4 linked regions of the Coturnix japonica genome follow. The protein of the gene in region 3 purifies or fractionates together with the protein of the main gene of each other region. This does not show direct contact. Links are inferred from orthologs where the notes say so. Each region holds a gene or a part of one and is shown on either strand. Other genes may lie near its edges.

Evidence for each region.
Region 1: the proteins of RNF146 (region 3) and PARP1 purify together in Homo sapiens (affinity purification with mass spectrometry; 4 studies listed by BioGRID and IntAct, counting the BioPlex papers as one, with this or other methods). This does not show direct contact. The link is inferred for Coturnix japonica from reciprocal best matches to the Homo sapiens genes RNF146 and PARP1.
Region 2: the proteins of RNF146 (region 3) and LIG3 purify together in Homo sapiens (co-immunoprecipitation; 3 studies listed by BioGRID and IntAct, counting the BioPlex papers as one, with this or other methods). This does not show direct contact. The link is inferred for Coturnix japonica from reciprocal best matches to the Homo sapiens genes RNF146 and LIG3.
Region 4: the proteins of RNF146 (region 3) and CHD1L purify together in Homo sapiens (co-immunoprecipitation; 3 studies listed by BioGRID and IntAct, counting the BioPlex papers as one, with this or other methods). This does not show direct contact. The link is inferred for Coturnix japonica from reciprocal best matches to the Homo sapiens genes RNF146 and CHD1L.

The regions. Positions count from the first base shown.
Region 1 is NC_029518.1:14,820,422-14,827,611, reverse strand, and holds part of PARP1 (poly [ADP-ribose] polymerase 1), read right to left. Parts: intron 5,197-7,190; coding exon 5,100-5,196; intron 3,785-5,099; coding exon 3,668-3,784; intron 3,167-3,667; coding exon 2,990-3,166; intron 2,560-2,989; coding exon 2,418-2,559; intron 1,991-2,417; coding exon 1,850-1,990; intron 1,481-1,849; coding exon 1,238-1,480; intron 437-1,237; coding exon 368-436; intron 1-367. UniProt on the Homo sapiens protein: Poly-ADP-ribosyltransferase that mediates poly-ADP-ribosylation of proteins and plays a key role in DNA repair.
Region 2 is NC_029534.1:3,393,533-3,400,722, forward strand, and holds part of LIG3 (DNA ligase 3), read right to left. Parts: coding exon 7,144-7,190; intron 6,711-7,143; coding exon 6,579-6,710; intron 6,062-6,578; coding exon 5,982-6,061; intron 5,548-5,981; coding exon 5,460-5,547; intron 4,933-5,459; coding exon 4,855-4,932; intron 4,280-4,854; coding exon 4,156-4,279; intron 3,754-4,155; coding exon 3,611-3,753; intron 2,818-3,610; coding exon 2,743-2,817; intron 2,159-2,742; coding exon 2,012-2,158; intron 967-2,011; coding exon 795-966; intron 107-794; coding exon 15-106; coding exon of another isoform or gene 1-14. UniProt on the Homo sapiens protein: Isoform 3 functions as a heterodimer with DNA-repair protein XRCC1 in the nucleus and can correct defective DNA strand-break repair and sister chromatid exchange following treatment with ionizing radiation and alkylating agents.
Region 3 is NC_029518.1:53,754,773-53,762,497, reverse strand, and holds the start of RNF146 (E3 ubiquitin-protein ligase RNF146), read left to right. Parts: upstream 1-2,497; 5' UTR 2,498-2,618; intron 2,619-2,699; exon of another isoform or gene 2,700-3,027; intron 3,028-7,725. UniProt on the Homo sapiens protein: E3 ubiquitin-protein ligase that specifically binds poly-ADP-ribosylated (PARsylated) proteins and mediates their ubiquitination and subsequent degradation. May regulate many important biological processes, such as cell survival and DNA damage response.
Region 4 is NC_029516.1:72,144,655-72,152,532, reverse strand, and holds the start of CHD1L (chromodomain-helicase-DNA-binding protein 1-like), read left to right. Parts: upstream 1-3,105; 5' UTR 3,106-3,121; coding exon 3,122-3,218; intron 3,219-3,787; coding exon 3,788-3,900; intron 3,901-4,554; exon of another isoform or gene 4,555-4,556; coding exon 4,557-4,663; intron 4,664-4,951; exon of another isoform or gene 4,952-5,003; intron 5,004-5,813; coding exon 5,814-5,928; intron 5,929-7,360; coding exon 7,361-7,392; intron 7,393-7,878. Other genes in the region: fatty acid amide hydrolase-like, read right to left, coding at 649-686, 2,714-2,770, 2,850-2,999. UniProt on the Homo sapiens protein: ATP-dependent chromatin remodeler that mediates chromatin-remodeling following DNA damage.

The sequences.
Region 1 (7,190 bases), about 39 Mb from region 3:
AAAGCAGCATCAGTTGCTTCTGCTCAAAGAGTCCTGAGGCAAACGCTTATGCCAGGCACTGCTGCCTAAGTCTTTATCCACCCCTCCAACATGTTTCTGAAGCTGAAAAATGAATATAGCTTAGTTTAAATGAACCTCCTGAAAGATGCACTGGAATATCCTAGATCATCCAAGCTTTAAAGTGTCAATCAATAGCCTTCTTTCGATAGTGAGAAAAGCTATCTTAAGAATTCTGCTTCCTTTTACAGCCCCCTTAACTTTTACATCAATGACTGCAAACCCTTTTACTTCCACAGAAAGATAAAAATAAGAATGCTGCAAACAAGCCATGCATCCTGAAGACTTTGGTGCTATTGTTTGCACTTACCAGAATCAGGATCTACTGCTGCTCCACCTTTAACTGTTAGCTTCATTTTCTTTTCAGACTTGCTAGGTCCTGCAGGGATAAGAAGTTATTTTTCCTTCAAAGGCAATACAGTTTGACTTGATTCAAGATATAAATTCCCAATTTGCATAATTATTACCTTAATGAGACTTCAAATCAGATTCCCAGTACAATACCCCCAGCACTTCAATGGCTTTCTACCTGCCTTTAGCAGCTAATTCACAGCTGCCTCCCCCCACAAGGAAATGAAAACCAAGATCTCCCCAGATAACATCTACCTTCCTTCCTCCTGACCCCAATATCATTTTTCCAACTACATGACAGAAGGTCACGTTTGTGGCTGTATTGAAGTGGGATTTTAAAACTTCACTGGGCACGTGGGACATTCAGTACTCACGCAGATCCTTCTACTGTTTGTGTGGCAATAACACAAAACTGAACAACACAAGCTAAAAGCTTGGGGGCTATGGAAAAAGAAGTTGAGCACATCTAATGGTTTTATTCACATTCCAGCATGAATAATGCAAGGTTGCTGTGGCAGTTGTGAAGACTACTGCATGGTGGTGATGAGCTGACAGTTGAACTACATGATCTTACTGGTCTTTTCCAACCTTAACGATTCTATGATTCTGAAAGTGCCACTGAGACAGAAGCTGTCAAGAGATAACTTCATACTCACTAAAACCTGATCTTACCTAAATCTTCATTATTTAAAATTTACTATGAGGGAGGGAAAAAAACCAAACAGTGAGAGAACTCTAGGAAAGGATGAGGCTGGACTATACCCAGATTTTCTTTGTGCACACAGAGCAATAAACAGGCCCCTGGAGAAACAACAACTTCATTCTTCACCTTGTTCTTCTTTGATCTTCCCAGCACTCTTCATATTTGGGGGCTTGCTGCACTTCCCATCCACCGCCACCTCCTGGTGCTCTGTTTTCACCTCTGCACCCCAAGGTGAAATGGCATGGAGAGAGAGAAGCTCCTGAAAGCTCTTGCTGGAAGATTTCACATCCTTAAGAAACTCCTCTGAGACCACACGAACTTTGGCATCTTTCACTTCTTCCATCTTCTTGCTCATTTTCTCCACCTCCTCTGCAGAGGCAGGAAAGGGAAGAAAACAAACAAACAAAAAATAGTGAGGTTTCAAGACTTCAGCCTCAACTTCTGACAACAATTCAGGACTGTGAAAAACTCTGAGGAGATGCATTTCTACCACGTACAAAGCTGCAGACTGAACTAGAACAGGAACACTTAATTTTTACTTGACTGGTCCAGCCTTTATGGCACAACCCACGATTAATTTTTGCTAGGTGAGTAAAACTGAAACAACTCACATTTCCTTTTACTTTTCCACGACCTCATGCATGTGCAAACACACTCCCTAACCCAAACACTGACCCACAAGGCGCTCTAATCAAGTACATGCATCTAGTGCTATCAGTGACTGCCAAGGCTACTCACTCTGTGTGCTGATGCACAGGGTAGCCTTGTTAGCAGTTGTTGTCATCTTTCCTCCCAACTCCTCCACAATATTCTTCACTTCCTCCTTGTTCTTGGACAGCTTTCCAAGAGTCAAGATCTTCATGTTGGTCAGTGGTTTGTCTAGGGGTTCAAAAACAAACAGCTCATCAGCAACAAGCATAGAGTCCACCACACAAATAATAAGCACAAATAATAAGAGACAGCATCCCACACACACAACAATCAGCACAGCCTGCAGGGAGATGAGCCCAAGCAGGTCTGACTAATGAGTGGGAGAAAGCTCCCGTTCTCTAAGGGAGATGACAAAGCGCAGCACACACAGCAAACAGAATGAATGGAAGGCTGGAAAAGATGCATGTGTGGGCACATTATTTGCTTGCATTTCTTTTTTTTGGTTTAATTTTGATTTATTTTTTAAGTCTGCTTCAGAACTGTCTGCTAGCGACTTTGCTTAGCTGCCCTTCATCTGATAACTGGACAGCATGAAAGGTCCTGCCTCTTCTTTTGGATAGGAATGGCATCACACACCACCTTGAACTCCACTGACCTTGGGGTGCAGAGAGAGTCTCTGTCAAAGGAGCAGATGCAGATGGAGGCGGCGCAGAGTTGACAGTTGCAGCCTCAGGAGGAAATATCCTGTCCTGCTTCTTACACTTAAATTTTTTGAGATACGGAATTTCACGAAATTCCTGTGAGACAGAATCACACAGTATTAAAACAACAAATACTACTGTAACATTTAAAAGCCAACTTAAGCACTGGCCAGATTGTGTCATTTACTACAGGTCTCAAAGGATTTCCGAGACACTTATATAAAGATAGGCAAATATCCACTTCATTAACTCAGAAACCTAAGCTATAGGAGAGTAAGTGACTGGTTTCAAATCAAATCAGTAATATCTCTTTTAATTTACTGTTACTGGGAAAAGGGATGACTTTGTTCTATATCAACTGCCTCCAGAGAGATGAAGCTACAACAGGATCCCCTGCCACTCAGCACTGCAGCACACTTTGCTCTCCAGCATCCAGCGCTGACTGCTGCTCATCTAAACTCCTCACAACAGGAAGCATCAATTAAGAAGCGTGCTTCAGATCATCACATGTAGAGTTAACACCCACCTTTGGGATTACCCAGTCTTTCCTGTTGGGAGTCTGTGTTTTAGCCACACACTTAGTCCAGGCAGTAATGTCCCCTGAACAGTAGTAAGCATCGCTCTTGAACACAAACTGCCCTTTGCACTCCTCACAGGGAAGCAGAGCTCCAAACGCCATCCCATCTGCCACTCGGTCCAAGATCTAAAACAACGAAGAATACAAAACTGGGCATTCAGGAAAGCATAACCCCCACACAGAGCATCACCAAACAGCATTGCTGGAGAGGGAAAGGAAGAGATGAGCTACTGTATCTGAGCACAAGTACGTAGGTGGGAACGTAGGCTCAGACAAGCCCCCGTTTTCCTGCCTAGAGATTTTCTCGGCCATTTTGAGTCTAGACACTTCCCACATCTCATCCCACGCTCCCTACAGCCTTAATAAACACAAACGCTTCATGTGACACGTGCCTGTGAAAGAGAGAGACCTTTTGCAAATTACACAGTCTGAAATGTGACTTTTTTAAGAAAGCATGCCAGAAAATAACTAGAAAAGTTATTGCTTCCTTTAGCCTAATGTAACAGTTAGGAGGAGGCAATGTGAAGCACCACAGCCAATCTGCTTTTGCAGTCAGTGACAAAAATACAGATCAGTTGGGATGCTGAAGACCCAGCACACACGCAAAGTGACTACAGACCAACTTACCGCATTCTCCCCTGAAGGCACCTCCTGCTTGTTGGCGATCAGCAGCTCTTTCAGGTCATTTGTGGAGCAGACTTTCCTCAGCTCATCCTTGATGCCCCAGATCAGCTCTGTCTGCTCCTGTGGACAAAACCTGTCAGCTTAGGTACTCACAGACAGACACTGTGAACATCCCGCCATAACCACAGCATGGTGAAGAGCACCAAGAGCCAGCAGCTTCACCACTGGAAGAACCACACATTTTATCCAAATAACTAGATCAGGTCTTTAAAGCCATATGCTTCAGATTTTACTATGAATATATACGCACGTGATAGCTTTTGGAAGTACTCTCACTAGAAGATCACAAGGGAAAGGTTGGCTCTACGGATTCTTCTGCTTCTGCATTATATACGTGAGCAGAAAGACTGTGGAACAACTTTTAAAGCACTACCCCATACAAAAAGATATAAGTTTTTATAGTAAAACAGTTGGCTTTTAGGTGGAGGGGAACCTGTTTTTCCACCACACTCCTACTCTCAGTGAATTCTCAACAGCCTCTGTAAACATCACCAACCCAGTTCACACTGCCAACAGTGGGGATATCACCTCATTAAAGCTTTGTATTAAAATAACAACCACAAGTGCTGGAAGACATTGTCCTTATTTTAAGACACTCAGGATAAGAAGCATTTCTGCTAGATCAGAAACCTGAAATGGCTCAGATAAGCCTGCACATTCTTTTAGGCCTTTCTACAAAAGGTGAAAAGGTTAGACAGAGAAGAAATGTCATTTTCTTTACAACTTCATTGAGCGCTACCTTTAGCAAAGCTGCTTATTATTTTCTTTCTTGGAAAGTACCTGTGCTGAACTTTTAATGAATATAAAATTCTTACAGCTCCATTAGGAATTTCTCCCACAGCATTCCAAAATTAAAAGGCAGAAAAGCTGCGATCTACCACACTTTGTATTCAACAACTGAACGCTGCTTCTTATAGGGTGAGAGAGATACAACTTCTCAGTAATCTGATTCCACACTTGCCATTGCTTAATTTTTTTTACTGTGAGCTATTAATTGGTCACCAAGCTCTTCCGAAACAGTGCTTGGTATCAGAGCTTCAGCCACTATAGTTAGATGAAATAGGAAGGATCACGAAACCAGCTTCTCTGAGAGAGAGAAGGCACTTAGCCTAATCTATTTAAATCCAATAAGCCTAAGTGCTAGAGAAGTTCCTTCCTGTATTTCAGGAGACAACAGCAGGGAGAACCGCCTTCAGCAATGGCTCTGCATCAGGCCACCTCCTGTGCAAAGACATGAGGACCAGCTGTACTGTAACTCTGCTTTGTCTAGGCAGCAGGTACAGTTCCTCTCCAAGTACCACAGCTCTTCACTCAGTGTCTGACACTGCATTCTTCTAGCAAGGCAGTTTTTAGGACCTAATCAGCTAAAACTCACCTTCAGCTGTTTTTCCTGCTTTGATTCTTTCTCTTTTTCTTTTCTCGATTTCTTTTTTGCAACCACATTTCCATCTACCTCTTCTCCTTTTCTCTTTCTAAGAGAGAAAAAATAAAGAGCATACACACTGAAAACAAGTTATTTAAATGCCTGTCCAGCTCAGATTACTGATATCTGCAGAGTCTTGAGTAAGTGGCAAGACCACTTTTGAAAATTCAGTGCTACATCACAGACACGTACTTGGCTCTACAACAACAGCTGCCTCAATTAGATCAGGCACACTTAGAGGTTTTCCACAGGATAACGATGATCTGGCAGAACAGCACACAAAATGCTACAGCACCGGGAGTTGCATATTCAGCCACATCTGTACTAGTTACTCCAAAGGCACACTCAGGACCCACGAGCATACATATACCTATTCACACATAAGAAGGGATAGCAATGAAGGTTATGACTACTCGAGAATCGCCAGAGAATGCCTTGTGTTGGAACAGATCTTAAAGATAATCTAGTTACAACCCCCAGATGTGGGCAGGGCTGCCACCAGCTCAGGCTGCCCAGGGCCCCTTCAAACCTGGCACTGAGCACCACCGGGAATGGGGAACCCACACCCTCTCTGGTCAACCTGTTTCAGTGCCTCAATGCTCTTTGAGTAAAGAATTCCCCACTAACATCCAACCTAGATCACCCCTCTTGAAGTTTAAAGTCATCCCCCCCTTGTCCTATCGCTATCAGATCATATAAAAAGTCAGTTTCCACTGCTTATAAGATCCCCTGAAGTACAGAAAGGCCACAGCAAGATCTCCCCAGAGTCTTCTCTTTTCCAGGCTAAACAATCGAAGCTTCTCCAGCCTTCTTCATAGGAGAGGTGTTCCACTCCTTGGTCAAACTCAACAATTCTAGGACAGCAAATGCAATCACTTTGATAATACAAGAAAAATAAACACTTCCCAGCTAGATCCTCTTCAGACCAGAACTGACTCAGACTTTTGAAACCAGATGGGATGAAGTACCTGCCTTCAGAGTACTCCCAAGCTGACGGTGGTGACACGATGTACTACTGTGCAGCTTTGTGTGAGGAAATATACTGTTATTAGCTGATTACAGCTGTGCACGGAGAAGGTAGAGAAAACTTTCCTCAAGAAAGACTGGAAAAAAGAGGAAGCCAAATAAAAGCCAAGGATTTTTGCAGGATTCTGAATGACGAGACCTCATAAGAAGAACATTCAGTTTTCCAGAGTCACCTCCCCAAGCCAGAGGGCTTCATCATGCAAGTATTTAGGATGGGTGCCCAAACACCGTGCATCTGCAGTGTCTCTCCTCAGCAGGCTGAGAGCCAGGGTGCCTCCAGCAAACCAAAGTTGATGGCTGTGCAGCAACTTGCCCCCAAAAGGAGGAAAGCCAAACCACTGGAAGGAAGTCACCCTGCTGAGAGGCCCCTAGACCAAGGGAAAGCATCCAAGTCCCAGCAGGAACCTGTACTTCTGGCAGTTTCTCAGAGCCAAGGGGACAGAGGTTGCTTTGCCTGTACAGAACAGCTGCCATATCGATTTTTCATGTTCTTTTAAGAACGAAAACAAAGACATAAGGACAGTCACAGTAACCCTGGACAAAGCAAGCACCTGATATAGGAAGGAACCGGGACCCCTTTCCTCACGCTGTAAAGCACTTGCACATTGTTGCTGATACACATACTTACTCCCTGCTTCAGAATATCTGTAGCTAATTGGGCACTGCCTGACAACACCTCCAGAATGAGGCTTTACTACTGTACTGAGCAGCAGTTCCATGCAGGGCAGGACTGCACGTCTCATCCAGCAATAACCAATGGAAGAAGCTTGGATCCTTGCACAAAACCTTCCCATTTTTGTCCTTCAGAAGGAAGAGATTTTTCCATCCCAGCCTTGCTCAGTGCCTCAGTATCATTCACCTGCGGCACACATGTGAGTTCATCACTCTTGTGCAAAGGGCTGACAGAGCAGCCCCAGTCAGAGCGTCTCTGCTGAGCACAGGACATACATGCAGAAGTAGATGAATTTGGTTACATTGCATCCAAACTACAAACAGCTGACTGGATGTAATTTGGAT
Region 2 (7,190 bases), on a different chromosome or scaffold from region 3:
CCAACTGTCCGTACCTTCTTTCCATTGTCTTCTATCTCAGATGCTTTTCGCTTCTCTCCTCGTTTCTCCTCTGCCTTTTGAGGGGATTCAGCGACTGCTTTGGTGCCTAAAAACAAGGATGTATCTCACTGTTCCTGTCTACAGCCCAGCTGTATATTAAAAGGAGGCAAAGAAAAGCAAGGATATGGAAAGGTAAAAGGCTTTCCCAATCTGTTCTGGAAAATCTGTGCATTAGAACATAACTGGTAAGATGCTGCTTTCTACCACTAATGGTAGAATTCATCAGGGCATCTTCCTGCCCTTCTTTCTCTCCAGCTGACTCCATAGCTCAGCCTTCCTCCTTGCTGTCACCACACCATATTTCTGGGATTGCTCAGAAATCTGCTACAGGTTATTCTGCAGCACATGGCTTTGCAGTCTACTATCTGGAAATCCCCTCCAGGTGCCTTGCACTGTATGTATGAACTTAAGCCAAATAAAATTAAATGCTGGTTCATGGCCAAAAGTATCTAACTGAAGGGCATGTAGCTGCAGGAACAGGAGCAGCAGGTTTGCTGCTCAGACCAGTCTTACACAGTCTGTTAAGGACTGTGATTAAAGATAAAAAGGAACTGCAAGTCCCACAGAGATTACATCATGTTTAATTTTGGTGGTGTCTATAACTGAGACACCAACACAAGCCAAACCAAGGGTTGAAACCAGCTCTGCCCATTAACTAAAACATCTTTATAAAAGCAGCGCGTAGAAGGTGAAGAACACATCCTGAGGTTCCCCTCCATGGGGAGAGGCCTTACCTTCTGGTTTCATGGCTTTTGCAGGGGACTTAGGAGGAGTTTTAGTCATCTTGTGTGGTGTGGAAGACCTGGAATTTCCCTCATTCTCTCCACTGCTGCCAGCTGTGGACTCCTCCTCCTCCCCAGCAACAACACTGAAATCAGCCTTTTCTTTGCTGAGTTGGTACAGCTCCTGTCCGAGCAGAAACAAAACATTCCCTTTAGCCAAAGTGAAACCTCTCATAAGCGGACATAAGCAGTAATTCATGTGCTCCTCTCACTTTCTATCCCCACCCCATGAAGCATTTGCTCTTACGTTTTTTTCTTCCTGCACCTCTTTGTCACCATTTTTCTGTCAGCTATGTTCAAGCTCTCTGCTCTCTACCCAGCAGCTCAACATTAAGAGAAGCCACACATTAATATCATCTACCAGTAAGCAAGTCAGACTAACTCCTCAGAGCCTGGCTCTCTGGACTGAAAAATGGCCAACATCCAACATTCTGTCCGAGAGTATTTTACCTCTCTTCCCCCCTACCTGCACAGTGAGCCAGAAACATTCCTGCAGAGAGACTGAATCCTTTCTTCGATGGCATGACAAGCATTTACATCTGCTGTCAGTGTCCCTGTAGGCAGTGCGAAGACAGCCCAAATGACAATGACTAGACTGAGAACAGAGCACATGGGCAGCTGACTTACTGCTTGGGGTGGCACCAGGCCAACTGGTTTCTATCACTGAAGGAGGCATAGAAGCTGCATGGGGCAGTGCAGCCCTGGAGCAGGGCAGACTGCCATTTGGCCCCTGTGCTATGGAACCAGGCCAGGCTACCCTTAGTCACTTCCCAGATGCCTCCTGCAATCTCAGCAATTAATGAGAAACCGAATGACCATAAACATTTAAGAGAATTAAGGTCAGCTCCTTCAGGAAGGAAATTGCTCACCATGAAGGCAGTTACAAGAGCTGATAGAACTAACTGCCAGCTAAAACCTTCCCCAGAAGCACACAACAACAGCTCTCAAGACTCAAGGAGAAAGAGAACCATGGAAAAAAATAAGATTCACATCAAAATAGTCCAGAAAACAACTTGAGCCTAGAATAAACGGAACAAAACACGCCACTGGAGGTGCTAGTCAGCAGATGTCCTCAGCACATACCCTATCAGAATTTATCTTTTAAATATAGGCTGCTGTCAGAACTTATTTGCAAGCACGCTGCAGAGAAGCAAGCCATGTTAACTCACCTTCAGCTGCGGGAGGTTGGTGGCTGCCTTCCAGTCCTTGTCATCTCGAATGCGAGTGCAGCGAGGGAAGCGAATGGAGATCCCATCTGCAGTGTGGGCTTCAGCTTTGGAGAACTCAGCCCCTGTAATCTCCCACACTGGGGCTTTCTAAACACAGCAGCGAGGAAGGAAGCTATGTCACATTCTTGTGTACTCTCATGAACTAAACTTAATGCATCTGAGTTCCTCTACTTCTACAACATCTTGCTCCTGCTCCCAGCACAACAAAGTTCCATGTATATGCTTTCTTAATTAAGGTGACCAGGAGGCTTCTATTTATTTTGCATTCCAGTGAATTGAGATCTTCCATTAATACATATTGCCAATTTCCTCGTATCCTATCACGCATAAATGGCACAAAGCACCCTGTTAAATTTAGCATAACAAGAGTAGCAACTTCTGGGTAACAATTGTACTTCAACTGACTTAACTGTACTCTAACTGCTTCTTTTCAGTAAGTTCACTTCTGGGAGGGATTTAATGTACAAAAACATTTCCTAGAGGCGCTGCAGGAACGATTGCCTCATGAAGCTCTTAGTCTCAAATGCACCTGCAGGATTCAGAGATAAAAACTCATGCTTAAATTCCTCTCCCAAGCATGAATACTAATTTCGTAACAGGTATAATCTGTACAATTATATAAGAAGTAGGTTGCTGTATTGGGCTGGGAAACATTTCATGACAACACTTACCTTTGGATCTGGGACAATGAAGTCTGGGTAGTAGATTTTGTTAATTTTCAGCCAGCTTGGGATTTTACTGGGATCCTATTAAGAGCACAAAAAGAAGATAACACCTGTGATCATACAGGAATCGAGTCCAACAAAGGAGGCTGCTGAAAGATAATGGCATAGTAGATTGGCAAATATGTATTTAATTGCCTTTGTACAGATTAAACTTGCTGAAACTTGCAGTGCACTGATCTGCAGCAATTTCTCCTCTAGAGTCACAAAAGATTACCTGCAACACAGCTGCTACTCACTGTCATGCCATACAGAACACCACTATGTCCCTCCAATTGTAATTCATATGAAATCACACATTTTTAAGACTATAACCTGGATGCCAATGGCCTTCAGGATCTCAAGTTAATATTAACATTCAGCTGTTTTTATGCTAGGTCTTGAAAAACCAGATTTTGCACTTTGATGCAAGTCTCGAAGTTCAGCACTTCTAGCAGCAAAACCACATCCTGACTGCCATTTCTCACCACAGCCCCATCCAGTGGCTGTCTTCACCAACTGCAACATGCCAAGAAAGTTCTGCTTCTCCCACTAAAACTGCCTCAGCAGGAACCAGATGGTGCCATAATTCCTGCTCAGTGTTTTGAGTACAAATCTCAAGCAGTGGCTCATCGTTAGGAGATGGCCACACCTACCCCTCAGTTCTCACATACAGGTTTATAGAGAATTTACCTGATTTAACTCAAAGTGAGCCACTCTTTGCTCCTGGCAAAGCTCTTGAATTCTGCATTTAACCAACACACAGCTCAGCAGGAAGATGTTTTTACCAAGTCCTGTGCTGAGCATTCCTCTGCCTCCCTGCCATAGCCCATCTCACCTTGCTGATCTTCACCATGTCCAGCTCTGTTTGCAGACGGGCCAAGGTGGCGTCGTCGTGGCCACCAGCACACTTGGTCACAGTGCACCACTTCTCGCTCTTGGGGTCATAGCAGCCCATGAGGAAGATGGACATCATCCCACCTTGGGGAAGGGAGAGCACAGCAGTTCATATCTTCTACAGGACAACCTACAGCATTTCAAAAATCAAAGTAATGAACCCAAACCCATCTCCATGTGGGAAATTTAAGGCCATCGGTTCGAGATGGTTTCTCAGCATCAGTTCACACACAAAGCTGAACAGAGAGCCTTGTTACTGTATGAAAGGCCAACCCAAGACTTAATGTTTTTTCTTTGCCAGCCATGCCACAGTGAAGCCAGGCAGCCTGCAGTGGCCTCAGATGTGATGGGCTGCAACAGACAGTCACTATGAGAGCCACTCTTATTGCAGCAGGAAAACAAATGCTACAGAAAACCTGGAAGAGGAAAAAGCTTAGGATTTTCCTGAACCAACCAATCTGACTTAGGTTAACACCAGAAACTTACCTTTACTGCCTTTCCCATAGAAAGCTCCCAGCACCACCAAGTCAGCTGTGTCAGCCATTGCACCCTCATTCAGGTAGTCCTTTTTCACTTTCAGCCAGTGCCGCTTTCCTGGTTCATAATTACCCTGTGCAAAACAAAGCAAAAACCTCCCAGTGAGAAAGGAGATGACTTTGTAGGCAGCCATCTCCTCAAACAGCCCTTGCTTTATGAATAACAGAGCTCTGCAGTGCTCAGATGTACAGGAAGTAACCTGGATTGGATATCAGCATCTACAGGAATCTAAAGGTGTTTCAAGACTGCTCAGCTGAGTATCACACCAGGGAGAAGCAGCAGAGCTGTGATTAAAATGCAGTTCTGGTTACCAGCTCAGTGATCTGCTGCTGGACTGTGTCACACTACAGGTGCATATAAATTGAATTGATGGTGCAAAGACGCATCATGAAGCTCACAAAAGTAGAGCTCTGTCCAGATGGCAGAAAACAGGCAAGAGAAGAACAATACTAAAATCCCAGAGAAAAACTACAGTAACTGAGAATCAGGTAAAGTTACTGTACATCCCCTCCAGGCACCATCAGAAACCTCTTAAAGCAGAATAGGGCTGAAGTTAAACTCACATTAAGTAGTTCAGTATTAAGTAGAGAGGTCTGTTCTTCCCCCTAAATCCCAACATCCACCAGTAAAGATGAGATGCAAACTTACCTTTATATCTTTCAACACCAGTCCTTCCAGTCCCTCACGGATGACTCGGGTGATCATATCTGCTAGATCTGAAGCTTTCTGAAAAGGAAAGGCACTGTGCTAAGCTCAAGCCTGTCAAATGGCTGTATTGCTCAATCTCTCCACTTGGAGCAGTAGAGTATAAGGCTTGTGCCTAATGATCAAAGAGAAAATTGGGCTTATTGCTGTCTAAAATGCAGCTTTAAGCACTCAGAATGTATCTGTGCTACAAAAATAAAGAGCTTGGAGTGGCCAGTCTGGAGACTGGAAGCTCTGCTCTCTTCAGTCATTGTTTAGTCTTCTCTATGCAGCACAGTAGAGGAAACTACGACAGGCTTTAGCTGCTCCGAACAACAAAGTTGCAACCTTATTAAGAAAGCCAAAAAAGATATGCACATTAAAAACATACTAAAGCAGCTGTAGCTGAGACATCAGCCCAAGAAGTTCTGCACGCAGACCAGAAACAGCCTATTTTGACAGGAACTGCCAGATCAGCAGCCTTAATTATACAAAGGGTCACATAGTAAAGGACCATGGAAGTGCTTACAGTGCAGTGTTAAATTAAACAGCAGATGTGGTCAACTCACTGTGACGTGCTTCATCTCTGAGAAAAGGATCCGGTTGGGGATTTCAACCATGTTATCATGTAGAAATTTACGACGCTCACGCAGAGGCCTAGGACAGAGCACAGAATACTAAGGACATAAAGCAACCTCAGCGTGGAGCAGCAGGCACGTGAATTTTCAGAAGGTATATTTAAACAGTTAAATGACTTATCCCATAGTTTCAGAGCAGGTAGTAAATTCTTTTAACGCTCCTTCAGGAAGAAGCTATATAACAAATCTATGATAAGAATACTTAGCTTCAGTGACATGAGTGGAGCACTGAAACCCACTGAGTTTAGCTGAAATGCATTTACTCTGATATTTTGGAACAGCAGAGCAGGATGGAGCACCAAAGATTCCCCCATGCTCTCTTAATCTTACAGGAGTAAACAGCCAAGCCTTGCAGCCAAAGCGAGCTGCTCCCTCTGCAGAGGTACTGCAACCCAGTAAGTCCATGCTCAGCAGCTTAGCAGGCTGCTCTCACACCGTGCCACACATACATACCTGTCCATCAGGCTGACGTCGTTGAAATAGATGCAGTCAAACACAAACAAGCAGACGTTGGCATCTTGGAAAGCAGCTTTCTGCAAAACAATCAAGATGAACTGAAAAATCTCACAGCAGCAGGGAGTTTTAAAAACAACACACAAAAAGATGCTACTTCTGTAAGACTGAAATATTCTTAGAACACACATTTAGAACAAATGTGTCAAAGCACAACACTCTTATGGATTACATCCATGTCTGCATCAGTCTGGTCTCCTGATCTGCTATGCTTTTCTATAGGCAGCTATAAGCAATCACAGAACTGCAAATTCTTCCAAGACCTTTCTTCTTTTAAACACTTACCATAAGCTGCAGTTTTCTCCCTATCCTGCTTCTGATCAAGTTAATATCAAATCTACTGTATTATAAGGGTACCTTTTCTTTAATAGCAGCCTTCCCAGGGATCTTAGATTTCCCCCCACATTCTCTGGGAAGCACCAGCTCTCTTACATTATTCTGTGATAACTGACCGCATGCCAGTGTGTTTAAGACAGCAGAATAACAGCCTCTGGCCACAAAGGACTTGTTTTATATATACGTATATATAGATTTTACCTTATGTACACCAAGAGATCCAAAAGGAAGTGGTTTGCCAGTTTTATTATCAATTAGAAGAACTTCTGAATCCAGGATCATACTGTGCCCACCAGGGAAAGCCTGGGGAATGAAGTCCTTAAAGTGAGCTACCTTGAGGGAATAGAACACAGAAAGGGGTCTGACTGAAGAGATGGACTCACTGCAGTGCAGATGCTCTCTCCAGAAGCGTCTGAGAGATGCGTGTGCATATTTTCTACTGCAGCACAGACCTTAACATCATCTATAAATAGAAAAAGAGACTTGAACAAATATAACAAAGTCACTCAACCGGCATCAAGCCAAACCAACTGCAACATATAAAGAGGACTCGAGAGCAGGTAGGTTAACTGTAGCTTCAAGGTCTTAAAAGACACCGAAACAAACTGATTACAGTTCTACTAAGCATTGGTTTTTTAGATTTGAATACTTGTAGGAATTAAAGAAAAAAAAGCAGACAACAGAAGGTATCCTCCCTGCCCAGAGGAACCTGTGAAACCCACTCATGTTTATAGGATACAAGAACAGACAATCTGCAGGTGCTTACTTTGTGAGGAAGGACGGGTTTGAGGCTCCGGCTGAAGTAACTGAAGT
Region 3 (7,725 bases):
GACTCCAGCTAGTTTACAAGAAGATGTAATTTCTGAAAATTTCTCAGCCTCTCCTCATAAGAACAATGCTCCAGGCCCCTCATCATCTTTGTAGCCCTCTCCTGGACTCCCTCTAGGAGATCCCTGTCCTTCTTGAAACAGGGGGCCCAAAACTGGACACAGTTCTTCAGATGTGGCCTCACCAGGGCAGAGCAGAATGAGAGGATCACCTCTGACAACCTGCTGGCCACACCCTTTTTAATGCACTCTGTAAAACACTGGCCTTCACGGCCACAAGGATGCACTACTTGCTCATGGCCAACCTGTTGTCCATAAGGACACCCAAGTTTTTCTCTGCAGAGCTCTTTTCCAGCAGGCCAGCCCTTAACCTGTGTTGATGTATGTGGTTATTCCTATGTGGTTATTCCTCCCCAGGTGTAGGACTGCACTTGCCCCTGTCGAACCCCATCAGGTTCCTCTCTGTCCAACTCTCCAGACTGTCCAGATCTCACTAAATGGCAGCACAGCCTTCTGGTGTGTCAGCGTCTCCTTCCTGCCACATATTGTCAAGAAACTTACTGATTTCTGTCAGGTCAGTGATGAAGATGTTGAAGTAAGTTTCAATTCTGGGAAACTGCAGTAAGGAAAATAAAGGATTTCAGTGCACTATATTACAAGGCAGTAGTTGTGGATTTTTGTTGTTTTTCTTCATTGTTTTTATTTCTCATTTATTTATTTATTTATTTATTTATTTATTTATTTCTTCAAAATGAAAACCAAAGTTGTAAGCCCAAGCCTAGGCTTTGGAGGGCTGCTGATCACCTTGCAGCCAGCCAGGCCTTGCACTTCACCATAACAACTGCACTTCTGGGGAGCTGATGCAGATGTATGTTTGTCTCAGTGACTGTCATTCTGGCCCACCATACTGCTGTGACAGTACTCACAGGACAATCTTGTGTCAAGTACTGTAGAAACAACATATTTAACTTTTAAAAAGGAAGATTTGAGATTTTCCATACCCCAGCCAGCCTTTGGTGATGGCAACAACATATCACTTTAATGAAAATGTTAGAGCCGCGTGGGGGGAGCTCTACAACAGCTGAGAGGATAGGAACACAGTGAGCTACAAGCAACAGGGTTTCATGGAACAAATGTGTCATCAAAACACTGTCAGGATATTTGCTTTTAATGTTTTCACTTTGGAACTCACTCCTCAGCCCCTCCTCTGGCTGCCCGCACAGAGGAACCAGGGGCACACTTGTCACTCTAGTGCCATATTGGTGGATTCACAACTTCTCATTCTGTTCAGAGGGGTGGCTGAAGTTGTAGGTGTGAGGAAAAGGGGAAACGATTCCATATCCTATCCCATTTATGCCCCACCCCTGGAGGTGCTCAAGGACAGGTTGGATGGGGCCATTGGACAGCCTGATCTGGTGGGTGGCAGCACTGCCCATGGCAGGGGGCTGTGATTGTGTGGGTTTTGAGGTCTCTTCCATCCCACGCCATTGTGTGATTCTGTGATTCACAAATCACCTACTCTTTTGCTTCTATTGTGACCTGGAGAAGCTTGGAGCTTCTCCAAAATCTATTTTGATACAGACTCAAGCCACAGCAGGAGACTGTTTTCTCCTATCTTCCCCCAGCTATGTCACAAGCAGGGGTTGAGCTCATAGTATACCTGCATGTCTCCAAGGGTTTACATAGTATCATACACATCTAAAGAAGCAGAAGAAAGGTCTTTATAAATAGAAGGACTGAAACATGATTAATAGCTCTCAGTTGCCAAAGCATCAGCAGAATATTAATAGTGGGGGTGCAGACTCTTGCCAGGGGAGGAGGTGTCTTCTCAGGACTAGTCTGGTGAATCTTTACTTTTCAAGCCGCTGTGCACATTAAAAATGTAGTGGCAAGTATCAGACATGAATTCCAGATTGACGACGCTGTAGGCAATGGTAACAAAGAGAAACAAAGGAGGGCACGGAGCTACGAAGGAAGCAGAGGCAGACAGAGTGGTGGTGCTTTCAGTTGCAATAGACAGGTACAGCTAATGCACGTTAAGGAAACCACTGCTGGACGTGGGGCGATGTGCTGCAGGAGCCAGCACAAAGATGCGAACACAACATGCATTTAGACTGAAATTAAAGCTGGCAATGAAGGCCGATGTTATTGCAGGTACCATTCTTCGGTTACCAGCTTCGGCACAACCTGATATTGCCTTTAACCATTTCTTCACCGAGCGTAAAATGAAACCATACGTTCACTACTGCATTTTCTCGGTCGAACTAAACTGTCAGACCCCGGAACACAGACGCGGGTTTATTTATTACTGAGAACACTTCATTCAGGGTGCTTTATTTTCCTGTAATCTCCGTTCGACGGAGACACCGAACCCCCAAAAGCGGATGGTGCGCTCCAGGCCCCGTCGCCATGGCGGCATCACGAGCGCGGGGTGTGGCGGCGCGGCACCATGGCGTCACCCGAGCGCGGCCCCCAGCGGCGGAGCCGGTTGTGGCTCCTCCCGATCCGCGGCGTCACGGTGGCGCGGCCTCCCCCGCTCTGCTCCGGCCGTGACGTCGGAGCGTCCCGCGGAGGCGGCGGCAGGTGGCGGCGGAGCGGCGCGAGCCGGCCCGGCCCGGCGGGTGAGTCCCGGCTTGGGTGGGCGGTCAGCGCTGACAGCGGCCGCCCCGGGATCGGGATCGGGGAGGGAGCCGAGGCCTGGCCGGGCGGTAGGCGCCGGCCCCAAACAAAAGGCCGGCGGGCGGAGCGGGCCTGCCGCGGCCCTGCGGCGGGCGAGGACCGGCGGGTGCCGCCCTCCTGTCCGCGCTGGAGCCCAAGTCCCGCGGCGTCGCTGTTCGCCATCGAGGGAGGAGGGAGGAGGCCGCGGCCCTGCGCGAAACACTGGGCCCGGCGGAGAGGGGAGGGCGGCGGGCCGGGTCTCGGCTGCTGTCCGCCCGCTGTCAGCGGCCGAGCCTCGCAGCCGGAGGGGGAGCGAGGGATGTCGGCGAGCACAACAGGAAGAGCGTGAGGAGCTGCGAGCGGTGCCGCCAGGTGCTTTTGTTTCCATGTGTCTGTGCTCGAGGTTTTTAATTGCATCCTTCGGGAGTGGTAAAGCGGGGCGGAAAAATAGGTCCTGCGCTTTGTGCTATATGTATTGTCACCGCTGACAAATGATTGCGAAATACTCGGTGAATACGAGGTTTTTCATGCTGTGGATGTCCGCTTTTTGCATGTGAAGAAACCCCAATTAAGGCGTCTTATTTCCGTCTTCGCATAACTTTTCTGCGACGTGAAGTAGAAATAGGGTAGAGCTTGTTGCTGGGAGCGCAGCGTGCAGGGGGTAATTAAAAGGGAGAATAGGGAGCGGAGCTCTAAAGTGTTCTGTCACATCGGTAGCGCTGAAGGTACAGCGCTGCGGCGTTGTTAGATGCTGCCTCTGGGCAGTGGGTTGCTTAAAAATAGGCCTTCAAGTGCCTCTGAAAACGCACAGCCAAAAGTGATCACTTGCGGTTGTACCGAAGGCACGGTAAAACCTGAATATTGATTTGGGTCACTTTGAGTAAATCTTAAATATTTTATGTTTGCGCAGAGTTGCTTTATAGCCCTGTGAGGTTTAACGCTGTGGCTTCTTTCCAAGCGAATCAAAGTACCGATTGTTTAAATGGCCGAGTGAAAGTTTTGTTCTTTTTGTTTCCTCTTAAATCCACCACATCCATGTAGATGTAATGGAATTGCCCAGAGAGATGAAGCTGCAGGACTTTTGAAGGCTGTCGAATAAGGTTTGGAAGGCTCTTGGTGTTGCTGGGGAAAAATCTTTCTTGGAATCGATGATTATTTTTTTTCCTCCTTCTGTGCATGTTAATTTATATGTCACAATGCTCCTGTACTTCATTTCTCTCTCAGAAGCAGCGATAGCTTCAGATGAGCCCATTTTTGCTTTGTTTTCCCACAGGAATTTTGTCAGTGCCCTCTTATTTGAGTGCGAAACTGAGGTTTTCCTCACTTAAGTCAAATGAAGTAGGACACGGGCTCCCAGTTATAGCACAGCAGAAGAAATTCAGTTTGAATAAATATGTAGCCATTCAGTATCAAAATGGTTGACTGTTCTGCACTTGACTGTTTTTCTGTAACTCGGACCCACACCAATATACAAGCTTCTTAAAATTAAAGTGTAGTAATGCTGTTTAAAGGAACGACAGGGAATTTGAAGCCTTATCACATCATTGATTTCTGAAAGTATTTTAAGAGAGAGAGAGGAGGCAGTGAGATTATTTACCTGCTGTGCTGTCCGATGCTTGCAGGCAGTTGCAAAAACACCAGACAGGTTCCATACCTTTAGCTAATACTGTACTTGTGACAGTAGGCCTCCAGATGGGAGATATATATATGCATATATATATATAATTATTATTTTTTCTCCCTTATGAAACAGAACACCACCAGCATAAAGCAACTACTACCATCCTTCCTTCCTTTACCAGCATTTGGCTCACGCTGTCCTATAGGGAAGAGTTCTGGGATCCTTTTTCCTCTGCTTCTACCTTCCCCCACCCTACTTCCTTAGTAACTGAGATATATGTTAGGGAGCCCGATGGTAACAGTCAAGTATTGAATCACAGAAGAACGTTTACCTTTGATCATTTCTTTTGTAGCGCTGCACCTGTTCAGTTTTCAGCCTCTGGCAGTCAACGAATGAGTTTGTGCTAACTGTTGTAAAGTGGTCTGTCTGGTGTTGCAGAACTTGTGCGATCACCTTTCATTTGAGGCAGGGTTTAAGTGATAGCCTTCAGCGAGTGAGAAGCTGGCTTTAGTTGAATTTACCAGTGGTGTTTTGTTTTCTTCTTTTCCTAAGAAGATAAACTTTTATTTACAAAAATTTCCTAGGGCCGTAAATAACAAACAGTGCACTTATATTTAGGATCTGGCTTCTTATGTTTCTGGAAATGTGTTTATTGTTGCTATTTTTCCTATCACTTGTGTCTCCAAAATAGTAGAAAAGTGAGAAAAATAATGCCCTGGCTATGATACGCTACTGGGAATTTGATAGGCAGCAGCTGACTGATCTGACAGGAGATGGTTTCACTTCATCTTGGCCAAGTGAAAGCTTGATGATTTTATCAAAGACCTCATGCCGTTTTTGGATGACGGGTGTCCTAGGAGGGACACTGCTTCAGCATCCTAACACGGTGTGGAAGAAGTTGGCACGAGGTTCCCTAGCAGGCGTCCTGACAGCCTGCCAAGGAAACAAGGGGTGGTTAACGCTGGCTGAGCCACAGTGTGGCACCAGTTGTTGCCCAGCTGGCGATGCCAAGTTTAAATTCCAATTCCCAGTGGGTCGGATTGTCCTTCATCTGTTGTGGGCTGAGTGTTTCAGAATCAGTGTGCAATAGTCCTCGTGGGCTTGGTGAGGAAGGGACACTCACAGGTTGCCACAGATAGCGTAATTCCTCATATGAGATGCTTTTCTAGCATAGGAAGTTAATTGCTAAGTGTAGAACATGGCTCTCAGCCACTTTACTTCAAAGGAGCAGGAGTCCAGGAAGGGGTGTGTGTGTGTGTAACCACAGATGTCTTTTATCCCGTTTAGTAAAATTTCTAGGACTGGCTTATTAAATAAATAACAATGTAATGAAGCACGGAGGTTACCTGAAGTCAGTATGTGAACTAGTTCTCTTTAATAGCTGTGCAGCAATTACAAAGTTGCTGTGCCATAATCCTATAATTATGCCCTAATTGGATTCTTCTAGGTATAATTACACACGTTAACTACACGCACACACTTTTTTTTCCCCAAGAATCTGTCAGAAATGACCCAACCTCCTTCTCCCATCTCCACATAACATTTGGTCTCACAATGCGCTACCTCTAATAGCGGATTGCAAGAGGTAATAGATAAAAGGCTTCAAGTGAAGCCCACAGATGTACCATAGAAAGCCAGCCCTAAGATGAAGGACTGAATGCCACATTCACAGCACTGAGCTTGTTGCAGCTGTCTCTTTGATCATAGCAAACGCCATATCTTGTCTGAGCGGATTAGTAGAGCCAGAATTTTAATGTGATTGCAGCTCTCCAGATTGATGTGCAAAGGAACGATGAGGGGAGAACCATCTTTCGAAAAGGTGCTAGGACAAGTGGATAGGCACGTTAATTTTTGCATTTTTTTCCTTAGGAACGGGCTCTAAAAATAGCTGCACTGAATGCCACGTGAAGCTCAGCTGTAAAGAAAATAATGTTTGAGTAATGTGTCTTAGAAGTCATCTGAACATTTCTTTCTGATGTTGCTAGTGATAAGCGTTCAGACGTTGGATAGACTGTGGCACAGAAGGCTGTAATACAAAGTGTTCCATGTTCTTTCAGGGAGTTGTTGCTCCTCCATTTCTTTGTAGTCTGTATGTTAGTCTGATATGTATTTATAAGCACTGTATTTATGCTGAAATGATCCTTTCCCTGAGCAAATATTATAAGGAAGGCCTTATTCAACAGACTGCTTGAATTGTGGAGAGTGCCTAGGGAAAGTCCCACGTTTACATGCACTGTTTTCTCCTCAAACAGCTGCCTGTTTAGAGACGAGATACAAGAGTAGATAGATGGTCCTTTGGGATAATGGGATATGAAGTGGTTTTTTGCTGCATATGGATTTGGGTAGCTGTTGTTACATTCTAAACTCCCAGAATGCAAGAAGTCGAATACTAGAGGCTAAATTTGCATTAACATAACGTATTCCTATCTTTGATCTCATTTCTCCTTCTGTGTACATAGTTACTTTGTGGAAATGAGGCATTGACTTAGTATAGCTAAAGATAATTGCCTTTTGTAATACTTTAGGAAAAGATAACTTGCATAAATTAAGGTGTCAAAATAATTGACGTCAAACTGTGGGCCAGAACTGATAATTGCAAAAAATAAGACAAAGCCTGATGATAACATTTCTGTACATTGAAAACAGCCCTTGTCAGGTAAATGATAGTAATTCCATTTCTCTAACAGGACCCTGGTGGTGTATTTTGCTTGCTCATACCTCTGTACAACACTGTTACAATGGTGATACTGTTTGCTTTGCAGTAGCACTCATTGAATCCGAAACACAGTAGTGTAGCATTGGGTAGGACAAGGCAGGAGTGAGCCAGCCTTTGGAAGGAGGACCTGCCATCCTAGCTGGAGGCATCTGAAGACAGGACATCTTAGTCCTGTGACGTGCTCCAGTAGAAATTACTGAGAAGAAGTAAGCTGCTGCTTTATGAAGGGACTTATATGTGCTAGCTCCTTGACAGACTGCCTGCTTGCAGTTAGAATTGGACCTGGAATCTGAAAAAATTACTCTGTTTTGGGGTGGCTTTATGGGAATTTACTTTTTCTTCTGACAGAGCCCCAGTAGGCCAGGGGAATTTTCATACAGCTCTTATACATTACCTGGTCCATAGCAGTGTACTTTGTGTGTTGCTGAAGGCACCCTAAGCTTACCCAGTGAAATATAGGTTTAAATATTAATTTAAAAGAAAAAGATATTAGAGGCAAGAGGAGAGGATGTGTGATCTGGCAAGACTGTAAACCAGCTTCTTCTCAGTTGGCTTTGGGCTGTATTTCTATTAAAATGCAATGTTAAATGCTTGTTGCTCCTTTTTTTTTTATACCTGAACTGCTTATCAAAATACTTCAAATCATTTTGTTTATAGAAAGTGTCAATTTAATTTCTATTAGACGTTTGATTTATTCGATAACGTAATTTTTCCTGTTACCCAAAATGTTACC
Region 4 (7,878 bases), on a different chromosome or scaffold from region 3:
CTAGAAGATGCAAGCTTCTCCATGACTAATATTTCCATGCTGTTCCAAGTGAATTTTACCCAAGAACATTTCGTTGTAGCAGTCTGCTCCCACAGCAGGGAGTTGCAACTGTTACAAAATAATCTTTCACACCTTTCTAAAGCCTCGCTGAAGGCAGCACCAAATCTACCCTGCTTGCTTAACTGAGCCTCCCACCTTCTGACATAAAGCCAGCCAGCCTCCATAAATCCAAGCTGGGAAAGATCTGGTGAAAGTTTTCCCATTCACTCTAATTAGATACATCATGCACAGGGAGAGGAGAGGAGAGGAGAGGAGAGGAGAGGAGAGGAGAGGAAGCCATACATTCGAGCACTAAGCCTGCTAGAACAGGCAACTCTTCAGACTTGATCCATGACCTGCCTCAACACAGTCTGTTTGCAATCAAATGTAACGGGGATTGGATCAGCACAGGTTCAGGGCCTGGAGTAAAACAATGAAATCCAAGCTCAATCATAGATGTTAAGAAACAATCTTCTGCATAACAGCTCACTTGTCTCTCAAATTATGAGACTTCCCTCTTTAAAAAGGTCATTTCAGGTAACTTTTAATAGGAATGGAATGGAAGAACCTTTAAAAACAATCTTGGAGGAGATAAAACTCCCCTCTTACCTTAGTAAGAGCGGCAGCAACAAGATCTGTCCAAAAGCCTAGAAGAAGATAAGCAGAAACATTGATTTACAATAGCTTTGACCTGAGCATCTTCCTCAGGGAAGGAACGCTAAATGCACTCACAATTGCTGCTGTTTCCGAGCACCCTGCAGAGCACGCACTTGTATTTCAGGCCACAACACTGACCTGAAATGCTTTCCCCACCCCATGCACATTTATAGAATCATAAAGACTGTATTTTCCTGCCTATCCTGCAGGAACATTCATTATTACTTCCCTGACTCAGCTCCAGAAAGCCTGCAGTTGCAGGCTGCAGTGCTGTTAAGAGGCATCTACATAGCTCCCACCAGCGCTCAGAGTTATGCAAACACTGGATAGGGCAGAAGCTTACTATCATTTCATTTATCTCTCTGTTAACATCTTTCCTGCAGTAAACTGAGTCAACTTGGAAAAGCATGAGATCTGTAGGCAGCAGGCAGCTGAAAGCAGTCTCTGGACACCACGGATCCCAGTGTAGCAATACCAGCAGTCCCAGGGAGATCAGCTTTGTTCCAGATTGCTGTAACAGCCCAAGAATCAGCTTCCAAAACAGGTGAAGGGAGTGCGGCTCCACCTCCCAGTGTGACTCTGAAGCAAGGCTCCCACTCCTACATACGTGAAGCGATATGTTGCTTCACACGTTGTGTAAGAACTGATTTCTATCTGATAAGGCATTGCTCCTAACCTACATGCAGTGCAACAGTAAAATCCAGAGTGAGACTGGGGATCATAAAATCATAAAGGCTGGAAAGACCAATAAGAATCTCCACTACAATCATCAGCTCATGCCTGTGACTGCTCTAGAACATGTCCCTGGATGTCACATCTACCCTTATCTTGAATGTTTCTCAAGGACAGCGACTCCTCCACCTCCCTGGGCAGCCCTTGCCAACATCTCACCACTCTTTCTGATAAGACATTACCTAATATCCAACCTGAACCTAATATCCAACCTGAACCAACCCCTGGCACAACCTGAGGCCACTTTCTGTCCTTCTATTGCTGTTACCTGTGAGAAGAGGCTTAAGCCTCTTCACTGCAGTTTCACTTCAGGTAGTTGTAGTGAACAATCAGGTCTCCCCTGAGCCTCCTCTTCTCCAGACTGAACAATCTTGTTTTCCTCAGCCATTCCCCATAAGACTTGGGCTCCAGATCCTTCACCAGCTTCGTTGCCTTTCTCTGAACACACTCTGTGGCCTTGATGTCTTTCTTGTAGCAAGGGGCCCAAAACTGAACACAACACTAAAGATGCCACCTCACCAGGGCTGAACATGGGGGATAATCACCTCCCTGCTCGTGCTGGATGCACTGTTTCTGATACCAACCAGGATGCCATTGGCCTTCTTCACCACCTGGGCACGCTGCTGGCTCACGTTCAGCCAAGCATCGACCAACCCCCCCAGGTCCTTTACCTCCACACAGCTTTACAGTTACTCTGTCCCAAGCCCGTAGCGTTGCCTGGGGTTGTGAAGCACAGGAGCCCATGCCATCATGGAATGGCATAGATTGGAAGGGACCTTAAAGGTCATTTAGTTATGTCTCCATCCAAATGGAATGGCATAGGTTGGAAGGGACCTTAAAGGTCATTTAGTTACGTCTCCATCCAAATGGGATGACAGGAAAGGAAACAAGCCCAGTGTCGCACACCAGACACAGCCATAAAGCAAAGAACTGAAAGCCGTTCCAGTCACTACACCCAAGCACAAAACCCCTCACAAGGTCGCTCCTGAGACAGGTATGCACCAAAACAAGGCTGTGTACGACCCCAAAGCAAGATGCAGAGCAGAGCAGACCCAAACCCAGCCTCTACATCTACAGAAGCCGACACCAGCAGCCCCCACAAAGGGAAGGAGACACCCACACGAGCGGCTGCAGCTGCACCTGCTCCAGTCAAACCCCAAAGCAATAGGAGCCTCCATATGTGAGTCCAATCTGAGGGGCTGAGCGATCCCAGTTCCTCTATGCCCATGGTGTCCCACACCACCCGGCTCAACCCGGCAGACATCTTGTGCCGTCTCCCGCTCACCGTGTTGGCCGTGTGCACGAAGAGCCGCAGCCAGAAGCCGCACAGCCGCGGTGCCCACTGCAGAGAGGAGGCGAGACGTGAGCGCCGGACCCGCTCCCCGCAGCCCCCCGCCCCGTCCACCCCACCCCGCTCTCACGGCGTCCCGAGGCGGCCGAGAGGCTGCAGCCCGGCCCGGCTCCCGGCGGTGTAACGTGGCGGAGGCGCTGCCCGTGTACCGCCGTACGCAGCACAGGTACAGGGCGGCGGCGGGCAGCAGCGCCCCGAGCAGCAGCAACGCCAGCTCCATCGCGTCGTTACCGGCCCAACACGGAACCGGCTCCGCGCTATGGCGGAGGGGCGGTGCTCGCCGTCAACCCGCCCCCGTGAGGCGGGACCGGAGGGTTTCCCGCTCGGTGAGCGCTGCCCGCCATGTCACGCTTCTTCCAAGCGCTGCGCCGTGCCGGTAGGGAGCGGGAGGGAGGGATGGGAGTGCAGCAGGACGACGTGGGCCAATGGGGGCTGACAGGTCAGTGCGACCGGGGACGGGAACCAGGCTGGTGGTGTGTAGCTGTGAGCACACCGACCCCGTGTGCTCCCCCACAGTGTATACGAGTGGCCACGGGCCTGTTCTACCTGTGTGCAGGGTCACCAACCAGCAGCCCAGGCTGCACAGAGCCACATCCAGCCTGGCCTTGAATGCCTCCAGGGATGGGGCATCCACAGCCTCCTTGGGCAACCTGTTCCAGTGTGTCACCACCCTCTGATTGAAAAACTTCTTCCTAATACCTAACCTAAACCTCCCCTAAATTCAGTCTGTCTGACAGGAATGCCTGATTTATCTCACCAGATTCCATACACAGGCCTTTGTAGTGACTTGAGAGCATTTTTGTGCCTACAAGTTCCTGAATATGGTTTGATATAACCAGCTTGCAGTGTTTCTGCGCTCTAGGAGGAAGCCTGGCTGCTTTTACTGTAAGGCAGCTGATTGGGAAGGTCAGAACTGTGCAGGACCTGCTTCTGGTGGCTCCTATCTGTAACAGTACATATAGAGTGTTGAATGGCTATGTGACATTAACAGATTGCTTTTATTCACAGGCATTAAGCTTCGTCCGTATCAATTAGATGGTGTAAACTGGCTGGTGCAATGCTACCAAGTCCAGCATGGCTGTATCCTGGGCGACGAGATGGGTCTTGGGAAGACTTGTCAGGTGTGTCATCTTCTGAAATATGACTTTTGCCTTAACTGTGGCTCAGGGTTCCCACAGCATGCAAAAAGCACCCTAAGCATGTAAGCAGCCACATCCTGAAGTCCTTATTCATAAGAGTGAGCTCTTTTGGTTCATTAATCACATAAAACCCCTGCGAGGTTCTGAACAACGCTTAGTAGCTTATAAATAACATTAACTAGTTAACACAGGGGGTATGGAGCCAATGGTGTCATTCTGACACCTGAAGTAGGATGATTTTTGAGTCTGTCAACATGTGGATTAAAGTTGAGTCCATGTAGATACTCTTCAGGGTTTTTTTAGTTTTATTTTTTAAATGGGATCCGTTTTTGTTGGAGTGAATGACTGTGGTTTGGTTTCAGACAACAGGTCTTAAATAACAAACTGGCAGCTTTAGAAAGTAGATCTCTGGGACTGTTGGAGGGATGTCTTTGGAAGAGGGTTAGAGATGCTGAGGTAATGTTTTAGGACGTCAGCTTTTATGTCACTGATGATGGATCTCCTTTGGTGTTCTCTCAGCTCTGATTTGCGTTGGAGAACTTGTGGGAAATCAGCTATAAACCTCAAGGGGACAGTTTATGCAAGTTCAGGAATTTCCTTGTTATTAAAAAATACTTTTTTATTTCCTTGCCTTCTAGACTATTTCACTACTTCTTTATTTGACAAAAAAACTAGCGAACAAAGAGAGATCCCTGATACTTTGTCCTCTGTCTGTTCTGAGCAACTGGAAGGAGGAGCTGGAGAGGTGAGTTTAAACAGCTGTTGTACTCGTTATAGCCTTGAATGGTGAGTTTCAAAGACTCTCTTCAGATATGCTCAGTCTAGCAATTTTCTTCCTTTCAAAAGGAAATAAAACATAAAGAGGGAAGCTACCAAACAACAAATTGATGTGTACGCTGCTTGCAGTTAATCCATAGCCTATACAGTGCTGTGATACCCATGCGTTCATCCAACTTATATCCAATACACTGGATGACTGTCAGTAGATATACCCTCACTAGCTCTGTGTTATTTTCTAACCCCCCATGCTCAGCCTCTCTTAGGCAAATTCTGCTGAAGACAGCCAGGATTCTGTATGATAAAAGGTAAGACCCCAAGCTGAATAGTGTGTTTCTTGGCATGCTCACACATGCATCTAAAATACCTTACATCCATGCATGCAACGCATATTCACTGGGGTACAGCATCTGATGGTACGTTTGCTGTGCCCAGAATCTGTATGTTTTTAGGCTTGAGCCCAGACATTGCTTTTAAGAGGAGCAGCTGAAAGTTGTAGATTAGAACAGATGTATTTCTGTGTGGTTGTTGAGCAACGCTGTGTCAGAAACAAAAATCATTGAGGTTAGATTTTGAAATGATCTGGCCTGATTTGGATAAACAAGCAGCTGTAATAGCTGGAAAAAGTACAGTCTAGTATGACTTAATATGGTGAATTTCAGTAGTGAACAGCTATGTCAGAGGAACAATAGGCAGGCATTAGGAGTGGGATTAAGTGAGGAAGAACTTTATGGTTCCATCTCTTCTTCCACGGAACTGATTTTATCTGCTTTCACTATGGGGGCTAGATTTTTGGAGCCCTGTCTTCATCTGTACTTTAGCTACCTCTGGACCAACTCTTTGCTCCCAGCTGGAGAATCACTTGCTTCTCACGAGCTTTTTAAGTTAAGAATCACAGATGGACCATTAGATTGTTTATCCATCATCTGCATCATGCTTTGAGACCTAGGATAAGCCGGTTAGTATGGCATTTGTCCAAACCAGAGCCAGCAGCTGAGGTGCTAAGCTGGGATGCAAGTTAATTCCTGCTTGAGTTAGATTCAAGAGCTGAGATCCAGCCACATTTCCCAGGAGAATAAGTTGCTGTCTTTCTTTTGCTGTCTTCCTCTTGACGACAGGTTTGCTCCAGGTCTCTCTTTTGTCACGTACATCGGCAACAAGGAGGAACGATACAAACTGCAGCAGAACGTGAAAGAGCAACCTCACTTCCACGTGCTCTTAACAACATATGAGGTACACGTTGTCTTCGTTGCTTCAAAAGAGAACTCAGGTTTTTCCTTGCCTTTTCCATTCCTCTGTACATGACGCTTTACCACTTGCCCTCTGTACTCTAACCTCGCCCAGTGATTTTCTACTCTGCAGCCCACATCACCTGCCCATCTAAGTTGCTGCAGCTTTTGTGTCCTGAAGATAATCTAATTTGACCCTAGCTTTACCACGCAGCTGTATCACACCTTGAATAAACAAATCAAAATCAGAAACATCTTTAACTGATGCTACCTGGTATTTTCATTGCCTTTCTGTGCTGCCTTACAGATCGTCTGCGTTTAATGGAAAATCACACATATATGCGTGATGCTTATTAAGATTCTATTAATTGGTCACTGCAGGAACACTTTGAAAGAGCTTGCCTATGTTTGTTCCTCTTTTGCCTGCCTTCCTCAGCCAAAACCAGACTGTAAAATGATGAGGTTTCTATTAAAAATCAATGGAATTTGGGGCTGAATCCAGTCAGTACCTTACAGAGAACCAGCAGGGTTGCTTCCTTTATCACTGCTTTGGGTTCTGCCTGGCCTGGTGCTTAGTTATATGGAGTGGAAAAAAGCCTTTATCTTTCTCTTATGACTCATTTCCACTCAGGTGTTACTTTGTATCAGTGCTTTGATTTCATTTTAACAGCCTCTTAACAGACGCATCAATTTGAAATTAAATGAGGAAGCTTCTCACAGCTTCTTTTTTCCCTGCTTGATCTCCTCTTCCCTTTGCCCCTTTGCTCTCCCTCTCAAGTATTTTACCATTTTCTTCATCTAGGAGCCATGACCTGTGCTGATCGCTCTGAACCTGCATCTTTTTCCACTATGCACAAGCCAGGAGTGCAGTGATAAGCCTTGTACTGAATGTGATAAATGGAGGTGCTTATACTAAAGCAATGCTGGCAAAACAATCAACCATATGGAGACTTAACTTGTATTTTTCTCGTCTCTGCTATTCTGATGATAAAATTCTGTGCTTCTTAAGCTTATCAATTGACCCCGTTTCTCTTCCTGCTTGAATCCGAAGTTGGGCAGATAGCGTGAGCACTTTAGGACATTAGCAGGTCAGATTAATCCACTGAAGCACATATTTGCTTAGAATCAAGAAGACTGTAATACAATACTGAAGGTGCATGGTGTTTCTTACAGGGTGTGAATGATACGAACAAACATTGCAGACTTGTCTGAAAATGAATTCTCTGAGGTTTTACTACTGATGCTTTGCCAGAGAAGCATTAAAATGAAGAGTTGCTAAAGCTTGTGGTTACGTTATCTGTTATGTTACTTTCCTTGGTAACTGACTTCACTCCAACCCTGCGCTATTTCACTATAGTTTGCAATTAGCGAGCAAGATACTCTCTTTTGAACTATGTGTTAAGTTGTAAGTAACAGTTTGTTTTCTTTCACTGCAGATCTGTATGAAAGACGCAGCGTTTCTCAAATGGTGAGTGCAGGTTCTTCTTATTATTATTTAAATTTAATTCTTCAAGTCTGTCAGAGATTTCTGAAGTGTGTGTTTATCTAGATGCAAGATTCTCCATGTTTCACAAGAGCCAAATGTGCTCTTCAATTATGATCAGAGTCCTTTACCCAACTTTCAGTGAAGAGCCCTTAATGTCCCTTAGGATATATGTGAAAAGAGCCCTGGGGAAAATATAGATCCACATGATTCCAGCCCTTGTATATTACTGGGAAGAGAGGTGTGTGGGAAAGAAAAGCTGGAGTGTCATGCTCTCCCCTCCCTGCCTCTCCATCAGCCAGAACTGTGTGGAAGTCACTCTGTAATGTGGGAGTTGAAATCCTCATTGTTAGCATTAATGAGTACTGAGACTTTGTGTTAAGTCGAGTGGATCTATTAGATAGCAAGTGATTCTGCAGCCTGTACAGTGTGATGGTGCGTGTGGCTGTATCAAGCCCAGACTGAGCTGAA